2 linked regions of the Arabidopsis thaliana genome follow. The protein of the gene in region 1 interacts with the protein of each later gene in a pairwise test. Each region holds a gene or a part of one and is shown in the gene's direction. Other genes may lie near its edges. The genes, in order: AT2G37020 and AT1G80150.

What was found.
Region 2: the proteins of AT2G37020 (region 1) and AT1G80150 interact in a two-hybrid assay, tested with the Arabidopsis thaliana proteins (one large-scale study listed by BioGRID).

The regions. Positions count from the first base shown.
Region 1 is NC_003071.7:15,544,490-15,549,708, forward strand, and holds AT2G37020 (Translin family protein), read left to right. Parts: upstream 1-1,924; 5' UTR 1,925-2,021; coding exon 2,022-2,418; intron 2,419-2,652; coding exon 2,653-2,749; intron 2,750-2,825; coding exon 2,826-2,941; intron 2,942-3,646; coding exon 3,647-3,691; intron 3,692-3,826; coding exon 3,827-3,852; coding exon of another isoform or gene 3,853-3,900; exon of another isoform or gene 3,901-3,970; coding exon 3,971-4,106; intron 4,107-4,190; coding exon 4,191-4,303; 3' UTR 4,304-4,548; downstream 4,549-5,219. Other genes in the region: NAP12 (non-intrinsic ABC protein 12), read left to right, coding at 1-29, 115-579, 661-809, 912-1,201, 1,293-1,426, 1,514-1,670.
Region 2 is NC_003070.9:30,146,436-30,151,216, forward strand, and holds AT1G80150 (Tetratricopeptide repeat (TPR)-like superfamily protein), read left to right. Parts: upstream 1-1,894; 5' UTR 1,895-2,302; coding exon 2,303-3,496; 3' UTR 3,497-3,722; intron 3,723-3,817; 3' UTR 3,818-4,121; downstream 4,122-4,781. Other genes in the region: AT1G80140 (Pectin lyase-like superfamily protein), read left to right, coding at 176-268, 378-554, 768-975, 1,055-1,136, 1,219-1,441, 1,518-1,745; GLYI7 (Lactoylglutathione lyase / glyoxalase I family protein), read left to right, coding at 4,543-4,781.

The DNA.
Region 1 (5,219 bases):
AACATTTGTATGGTCGTCCATCAACCCAGGTATGTTATCTCCTCCATGAATTATGTTACAATTTTATGTTAAGAAATACTTTTTGCTTAATAATTGGTTTTTTCCTCTTATTAGTTATACAATGTACAAAATGTTCGATGACATGATAATACTAGCAAAAGGTGGTCTTACCGTGTACCATGGATCAGTCAAAAAAATAGAAGAATATTTTGCTGATATCGGAATCACGGTTCCCGATCGTGTCAATCCTCCTGATCATTATATAGATATTCTTGAAGGCATTGTGAAACCAGATGGTGATATAACTATAGAACAACTTCCTGTGAGATGGATGCTGCACAATGGTTACCCTGTGCCTCACGATATGTTGAAATTTTGTGATGGACTTCCTTCCTCGTCAACTGGATCAGCTCAAGAGGATTCCACTCATAATTCTTTTAGTAATGATCTATGGCAAGATGTGAAAACTAATGTGGAGATTACAAAAGATCAGTTACAACACAATTACTCGAATTCTCATGACAATTCTAATCGAGTAACTCCTACCGTAGGTCGACAATATAGATATTTTGTTGGAAGGTATGATTTTTCTAGATTTGATAGATGGAATTTTGTGGTTAATTTCATATGTACATTAAAACTTTAGTCTATCTATTTCAGGGTTGGAAAACAACGGCTTAGAGAAGCAAGACTACAAGCGTTAGATTTCCTAATATTATTAGTTGCGGGAGCTTGTTTAGGAACTCTTGCGAAGGTGAACGACGAGACAATCGATACACTTGGCTACACATACACCATAATAGCTGTCTGTAAGTTTCTTACGTACACAAATATTAATTTACATTTACTAGTATTCGCGATTTTTGGAACGTTAACTAAGCTCTTTTCTGTATGTCTTTCTTTTTTTGTAGCTCTTTTGTGTAAGATCTCGGCATTGAGATCATTCTCTGTAGATAAATTACAATATTGGAGAGAAAGTGCCGCTGGAATTAGCAGTTTGGCACATTTTATGGCTAAAGACACAATGGACCATTTAAACACAATTATGAAACCTTTAGTGTACTTGTCCATGTTCTACTTCTTCAACAACCCGAGATCTAGTTTCGAAGACAACTACATTGTACTAGTATGCTTGGTCTACTGTGTAACAGGCATGGCTTACATTTTTGCCATATTGTACAGTCCTAGCGCCGCACAATTGGTTTGTCCTCACTTTCTCATAATTCATATATGAAGGAACCAAAATTTTCACTAACCATATGGTACCTGAATTTGCTGTTATGTTCTTGCAGTTGTCGGTGTTAGTCCCCGTTGTTATGACTCTTATCGCTAATCAAGATAAAGAAAGCATGGTCCTTAAGTATCTCGGAAGCTTTTGCTACCCCAAATGGACTCTCGAAGCCTTTGTCCTTTCCAATGCTCAAAGGTAGAAAGTTTGAAGATTTAATTCTTCTAACACATAATCAAATCTTAATTCAGAAAATTTGATTTTGGACTCTTTTTTTTGGGTTAGGTACTCTGGAGTGTGGGTGGTGACTAGATGCAGTTCATTGTCTCAAAACGGATATGATCTTAGTGATTGGATATTGTGTCTCATTGTTCTCGTTCTCATGGGACTAATATGCCGATTCATAGCTTATTTCTGCATGGTTACATTCCAGAAGAAATAATCTAATAATTACACATGATTAAAAAGCTTACATTTTGTAAAATTCTTCTATTTTTCATACGTTAAATATTAAATGAGTTATATAAGTAGTTTATAGAATTAGAGAAGAAGGGATTTTAGAATTCCAATTTTGTAATTTTTATTTGTAGATAATGGTGATTATTCATCATGCTTTTTCTTTCTTTATATGGTAACCGGTTTTGGTAAGATAGAGTCATACAGAGAATGATATACAAAGAAATCGGTTTATTTTCAGTTACGATTCTTTGGTTTATATGATCCGGTTTAATTGGTTACTAAGATGATGTCGGAAAGAGAATAGGGAAGCGGCGTAACTAAAAAACACGACACGATGATGAATTCGGCGTTTCGAAACGTTCACATCACTGCGTCTCGTTTGATAAACCCTAAGCCCTTTTCTTCTTCGATTCTCCATTTTCTTCCTCTCTGTTCCGGCGACGCTTCTCCTCGCCGTTCCAATCCTCTCCGGCATAGAAACTCGGTGTCTCCTTCATCTTCCTTTCCCTTCTGTTCGACTTCTTCCTTTTCTTCTTTCTACATTCCTATGGCGGGAGGAGATGGTCAGGTGTCTCATTCGCTTGAGAAGCAGTTCGAGAGTTTCCGTGTTCAATTGGAAGAATCTGCAGCTTTGAGAGAGCAGATTCGTGCTGTGGTTATGGAGATTGAGTCTGCTACTAGGCTTATTCAAGCTAATCTTCTTCTCGTTCATCAATCGCGTCCTATTCCTGGTAAATGATTAGTCTTTAGGTTAAAAATTGCATCTTTTAGCTAAATGTTTGAAATGGCTTGATGGGTTCAGAACTTGGTGATGAAGTTCTCTATGAAGGGAAGTAACTAAAAATGAAGAACTTGTTGAGAAAAGAATGAATATTGAATTACACATAGCCTTTGTTCTTTTAAGAAATTCATTGGAAGTGTTTGGTTGTTACTAATATAGATTGCTCGTTTTGTTGATGGATCAGAGGTTATCGAGAAAGCTAAGGAAAAAATCGTTGATTTGAAGCAGTATTATGGTCGGCTTGCTGAAATTCTTGAGGAGTGTCCTGGACAATACTATAGGTAAGTTTGAAAGCTATGTGTAGTTAGATTTTCTTTATTTGCAATGGTTTTTTGTTAAAAGGTTTTTGTAATGTAGGTACCATGGAGACTGGAGAAGTGAAACACAGGCAGTGGTCTCCCAGCTTGCTTTTATGCACTGGCTAGAAACTGGAACTCTTCTCGTGCATACCGAAGCTGAAGAAAAACTTGGGTGTATGTCTCTGGATCTCAATTTACTATTTTCCTTACTTCCAAATACTGAAATACATATCATGGCCTAGTGGTTGCACTATAAATAAAACCTTATTTTGTTTTGCTAGTTCTCTCACAAACTTTTGTATAGAAACTTCCTTCCCACAATAGGTAACAACTGAGCTGGCAGTAGGCAATCAATTTGAAATCCGTTCATGACTCCAACATACTATACGTGTTATCCTGTGACCCTCCTTTTGCCTGACCTGTCTCAGTTGGAAAAACTAAATGAACGAGTTTTCTACTTTTCTCAATAATCAGATTCAGTTTGCCACTAGTCTTCTTCTCTTATCAGTATGTTAATTAGTCTACCTTTTCTTGCTCGTTGTTATTGATTTTGTCCTTAGGCTTTGTTTCAGTCTGCATTTTATCCACTGTAGTGTCAACCATTTAGCTAAGATTTGATTTTTTCACCTCAATAGAGTTATTAGTTGCCGTTTCCCATGAACTCAGTTATTCTCCCTTAGGATGGATGGATGATAATTGGAAGGTTGGTTTTTCATTACGTTGGTGTAGAATAGATATTTGCCCAAGTGTCGTTTTGTTTCAAATCTGGGTTTTGTTATCTTGTCAAATCAATTGTCTTTGAGTAAAATAAACAGAACAAGGTGTTGGTCAATTCATCTGCCATTATGGCTCTTCTAATTCCACTTCATTGTACTTCAGTGAACAGTTTGGAGTTTGGATTGGAGACAGAAGATTATCTCACTGGTAAGTTTCTGAGAAAGAACCCATATTTGCTCTGGAAGGCCAATATCTATAGATCAAATATGCCTTACGAGCATTTTATGAATCGCAACATTGCTTTTATATTCTCTGATCTTCAGCTTTTTGAATACTTTGCAGGAATTTGTTTCATGTCAAACGATTTGGTAAGATCATTTTTATCCCTAAATCTTACTTTCCATCTTCCCCCTTAGCATCCTACTTGATAGCAACTTATGAAAAACCTTTGGATAAATGCAAATGGGTGATGCAATGTTTGAGCAGCCTAGGTACGTGGTTAATCGAGTGACAGCAGGAGACTATGACTGCCCAAGAAAGGTGATGAATTTCCTGACAGATCTTCATGCAGCCTTTCGCATGCTCAATCTCAGGAACGATTTCCTGCGCAAGAAATTCGACAGTAAGTCATACATATCTCTAACTGCTCTTCTTTCTCCATTTGCGATGGTTACATAAAAAAAAAATCGATTTTGACATGTGACAGGTATGAAGTACGACCTAAGAAGAGTGGAAGAAGTTTACTATGATGTCAAGATCCGAGGTTTGATTTCCGGCGGAGATCCTCCTGGCGTCCAAGCAGTCCAAGGCCAATCCTAAATGTCCTCGGCTCTTTTTAAGTTTTTATGTATAACTTTGTTTAGCTAGCATGAAAACGTCAAGGAGTGTTCTTCTCTAAACCAAAAACGGCAAGGAAAATAGAGAGACTGTAGTTTTTAGGTGTAGTTTGCAATTACTGAAAACGGCAAGTATTCCTTTTGTGGGCCTTGAAAGCCCACATTTTAGTCACAACTTTACTGTTATCCGAAGTCAGCAGCTTAATAGTATAACAGTAGATGTTCATGAACTCCACCTGTCCATCGTTGCGGACTTGAAACGCACGTTATATTTGACGGTGTCTTACGTCATTTTGGATTTCAAAACTAAATAAATCAGCTTTTGGAATCCGAAACAAAGACAAAAAAACAAAATCCAAGTCTAACAGTCGCCATTTCCCCTCCTGCGTCAGTGTTCTTCGTCTCCTCTCGTCGTCTCTCTTTGGTATCTTTTTTCTTAGCTTCGAGTACTATTCTTTTCGCTGACATTGTGTTAGATTCTCTCTTGAACTTGAACGATCTCTTTTCCAACACAAATGTAATGTATGATATCGTTCGATTTTTTCTCGGATTGTTAGTTTCTTCAAATTGCAGGTGTTTAGTTAAAGGAAGGGGATAAGCTAAGCAGCTGGATTTTCTTTTCTTTTCTTTTTTTTCTTCCCTGGAAAGTTATATTTTTATTATTATTTTCTAATGTAACAGCTGTGAGTCGTCTCTATGGCCCACATTATACGTATATTTCTTTTATGTTTTTTTTTTTTTTTCTATATTGCATTTGCATTTTGAATGTTGTGATAAACATTTAAAACATTGACGCTTCTGTAGCTGCTGAGAGTTTTGATTTTTCTTTATTTGTGTTTATCTATTCTGTCAATGAGACTGAGATCATCCGACAGAAATTTGTCTGGCTACTCTGTTTC
Region 2 (4,781 bases), on another chromosome or scaffold:
ATTGTCGATGATACATCTGTAAGTTATTGGTGTATATATATTATATATCAGTACAAGCAGCATAATTGTTTAGTCATCATATAAAAAAAATTAAACTTTTGCATGGTATATGTGGGCAAAAAAAAACAAGGCGTTCCAAAAGGCGTGGGAGGATGCTTGTAAGGGAAGCTCCAAAATGGGAAGTGTAAACGTACCAGCAGGGAAGGTGTTCCTCCTCAACTCCCTTCACTTCACGGGTCCTTGCATACCCAAACCTCTCCTTTTCATTGTAAATCCCTCCACCACTTTACTTGATTGATATTACATGAATACTCGAATATGAACCTACTCCTCCAAGTTAATTATAAAGTTACTTTTGCTGATATATGTATATATAGATCGATGGAGAGATGATAGCGCAGAGTGATCCACAGAAGTGGGGAAATGGTGAGAACGGGGTAATACCATGGCTCATATTCGATCAAGTAGATGGACTTGCAATCGTAGGGCGCGGCTTGTTGGACGGCCAAGGCAAATCATGGTGGGATATTCATTGTAGAGACCATCCCGGACCCGTAAGTTTCCTTTTTTTTAACTTTTTATTTTTCTTGGGTTATAATGTATCCTAACAAACCATCTCTATGTGATAATACATTTTGTAACCTATAACGTGTCACAGAATTGCATCTGCCTTGCACCAACGGTAAGTTTGCTATTTACAAAAGGAAGTACGTAGTATGTATATAATAACTTGGACGTCTCTATAACTATAGATATATTTCTCGCAGATGATGACATTTAGCAACTGCGGAAATGTAACATTAAAGAGTTTGAGATTTAGAAATAGTGCACAAACACATGTTCTTGTGATGGGAAGCCAAAATGTGTATATCGATGATATCAAAATAACATCACCGGAGGCTAGCCCTAACACCGACGGTATTCACATCACATCTTCCACCGCCGTTTCTATCAATCATTCTGACATCGCCACTGGTATATTTCCTTACCTAACCATATAAAAGATCAAACAAAAGTTTAATTTGTTTATTTATTCTCACAATTAATTAAACAGGTGATGATTGTGTGTCGATCGGAGATCAAGTGAATAATTTGAATGTTACTTTTATGAATTGCGGACCTGGTCACGGTGTGAGGTGATTACCATCTCCTTATCGACCTCGTAATCTTATATTTTTCATAATAAAAAAATGAGAACTAATAAGAAATTAGAGACAGCATTGGGAGTTTAGGTAGAGGAGGAACAGAGGTAACAGTGGAAAACATACGTGTGTCGCACGTTAACTTCACTGGAACAACAAACGGAGCTCGAATCAAGACTTGGCCTGGAGGAACTGGTTACGTCCGAGGAATCGAGTTCTTCGATATCCGTTTCTCGTCTGTACAAAACCCCATCATCATTGATCAGTTCTACGGTTGTGCCCCTACATGCGTTGAGACTGTGAGAACCTTTTTCTTTCTATCTTTCAAGTTAATATTAAATGTAAATGAGCTAATGTTTGAATGTAATGTATCAGATGAAGGGAGTTCACATAGAGAAAGTGAGATACATGAAGATGAGTGGAACATCGGCGACAAAGGTGGCTATGAAACTCGAGTGTTCAGGGGAGAGTGTTCCATGTTCCAACCTTTTCATGAGAGACATTGACTTATCTCCGGCCGATGGTATTGATTCTGTCTCCTCTCTCTGCTCTTTTGCTCACGGCTCCGCACAAGGCATCATTCGACCTTTATCCTGTTTCTAACTATTTTAGTAATTTGTAAAGTTTTGGGGTGTAAATTGAATTACTATGTAAATGCAGGGGTCATATTGGAATAAACAACAATGTTTTAGTTAAAAGGCCTGTATAACAATGCAGGCCCAAACAAAAAGATATGAGCCCAATAGTCACTGAAATTGTTTTCTCAAACCCAAAAAACCTAAAACCTTAAACCTCCGTATGTGTTCCGTCGTTAGCCTCCTGCTAATCTCCATCTCAGATCGCAATTTCTCCCTTTTCCGGTCACTGCTCCGGCTTACGACTATAGCGTTCCGAGATAAAGTTCGGCTGTGTTAATTAAATTCGCCGTCGGAGGGATTTTACGGATATGGCTGTTGTTGAATCGCATGGGGATTTAGGTTATTGTCGATTGAGGTAAATGGATGTCGAGGGTTTGCTCAACTCTTCGCTCTCCTTATCTTTGAAGCTGGTTCTATAGATTGGTTAGTAGATCTTACAAATTGCAAAGATTGGAGATTTGGGGGATTTGAATAAGCTACATGTTATTCGGGTATGTTTAGGCTCGAGGGAGGCCCTGGATCATGCTATCTCTGCGACACATTCGCAGATTCTGCCATTTTCCTTCCTCTGCAGCCACTGGTATTGCATATGTTTCAACAGAGTCCAATCAGATCCAGGGTTTGAAACCGCTCGAGGAACCTGCCCTTGTGAAGCTTAAATCTGAGCGAGACCCTGAGAAGCTATACAATCTCTTTAAAGCTAATGCCACTAACCGTTTGGTGATTGAAAATCGATTTGCTTTTGAAGATACGGTCTCTAGATTAGCTGGGGCAGGTCGGCTTGATTTCATTGAGGATCTGCTTGAGCATCAGAAGACACTTCCACAAGGTAGGCGTGAGGGTTTCATTGTTAGGATTATAATGTTGTATGGCAAGGCTGGAATGACGAAGCAAGCACTTGATACTTTCTTCAATATGGATTTATACGGTTGCAAAAGATCTGTTAAGTCCTTCAATGCCGCTCTTCAAGTCTTATCTTTCAATCCTGATCTCCACACCATCTGGGAGTTCCTTCACGACGCCCCATCGAAGTATGGCATTGATATTGATGCGGTTTCTTTTAACATTGCCATTAAATCTTTCTGTGAGCTGGGTATTCTTGACGGGGCCTATATGGCAATGAGGGAGATGGAGAAATCAGGGTTAACACCAGATGTAGTTACATATACTACACTTATATCGGCGTTATACAAGCACGAGAGGTGTGTGATTGGAAATGGATTGTGGAACCTTATGGTCCTCAAGGGCTGTAAGCCGAACCTCACCACTTTTAATGTTAGGATTCAGTTTTTAGTGAATAGGAGACGAGCTTGGGATGCAAATGATCTGTTGCTGTTGATGCCTAAACTCCAGGTGGAACCGGACAGCATAACATATAACATGGTTATCAAAGGGTTTTTCCTTGCGAGGTTCCCTGACATGGCGGAAAGAGTTTATACAGCGATGCATGGTAAGGGGTACAAACCCAATTTGAAGATATACCAGACGATGATTCACTATTTGTGCAAGGCAGGAAATTTTGATTTGGCTTATACAATGTGCAAGGATTGTATGAGAAAGAAGTGGTACCCAAACTTGGACACAGTTGAGATGTTGCTCAAAGGGCTTGTGAAAAAGGGGCAGCTTGATCAGGCTAAGTCGATCATGGAGTTAGTTCACAGAAGAGTACCTCCTTTCAGGTCAAAACAGTTGCTCTCCCTTAAGTCCATTTTGTAATGTTTACATGAAATGGAACAAATTTGCTACATGTACACGACAATGCGGCCAAAAGAATTCTTTCTTTCTTTCTCCTGAGTTTATTTTGTATAGCTGTGGTGGAACTGGAAATGGGATGTAGCCTCATATTAGGAGGCACACTTATCTTCCAATCAGATTCAACTATTTGTTGTTCAATGTGAATAAAGCTTAGGATGATTTGGAAACTTCAATGGAGGGATACCCAGTAAGTCATGGATGCCTCTACAATCTTAAGTTGTGATAGCACAGAACTAGTTTACCTTTTGTAATGCTACTTACAAAACATGTTGTTGATTTCAGCTGGAGAGCAAAATGGCATACACAAAGCAGGGACCATGTGCTGAAGAAACCAAAAGGATCTTCGTCTGACGATGCAAAAGCTCTTGAGCACCTGGAAAAATGAGTTATGTTGTAAGCTTCATCTAGCCAAATTAAAAGCACTAAACATATAACAAAGGATATCAACGTTGATAGCTTTTTCTTGATATAGCACGAATGTAAACAACAGAGAATAGAACAGAGACAACATTACCAGCAATGAATATTTTTATTATTATGTCGAATAAATACATTTTCCCACAAGTGACAGAGCAAACAAAATTCACATATTTTTGTCTATTACACTTTGGTGTCAGACTGACTTGTTACGTAGATTTATGGCGGTGGATTATAACATTGTAACTTTAAATATCTTTTAACGTAAGAAACAAAACTCCAAAATTGGTGTTTATTTTTAAAAATAAAAATTTGAGGGGGCATGTATGTTTGTTTAGTTGATTCACGTGTTCTTTGTGTCTGAAAATTCTGAATTTGATGATTTTGAAAAAGGAAAAAAAGATACGAGGTATCCTCAATTCCAAAAGGATGAATGATACAACTCATATATACAAGATTATAGTAAAAAGAAGGGATGCATATAAAGAAACATAGACATCATCGCCATCCATCCTCAGATCAGTTCCGTAGTTTACTGGATCACGACACACACACATATACACGTGTACATATAAGCCATTCTTATCAAAATGACCACCTTCCTCCTGAATTCTCATTCATTATATAGGCGTATATTTCGGAATTCTAAGTTTTGTTGCTACGATCGAGCCAGCGTTCTGTTTCTGTACGTCTCTCTGGGTAAGAAAGAAAAAATGAAGGACGAAACGGGAAACCCTCTGCATATCAAGTCTTTGAATCACATCTCTCTTCTCTGTCGATCCGTCGAGGAATCCATTAGCTTTTACCAAAACGTTTTAGGGTTCCTCCC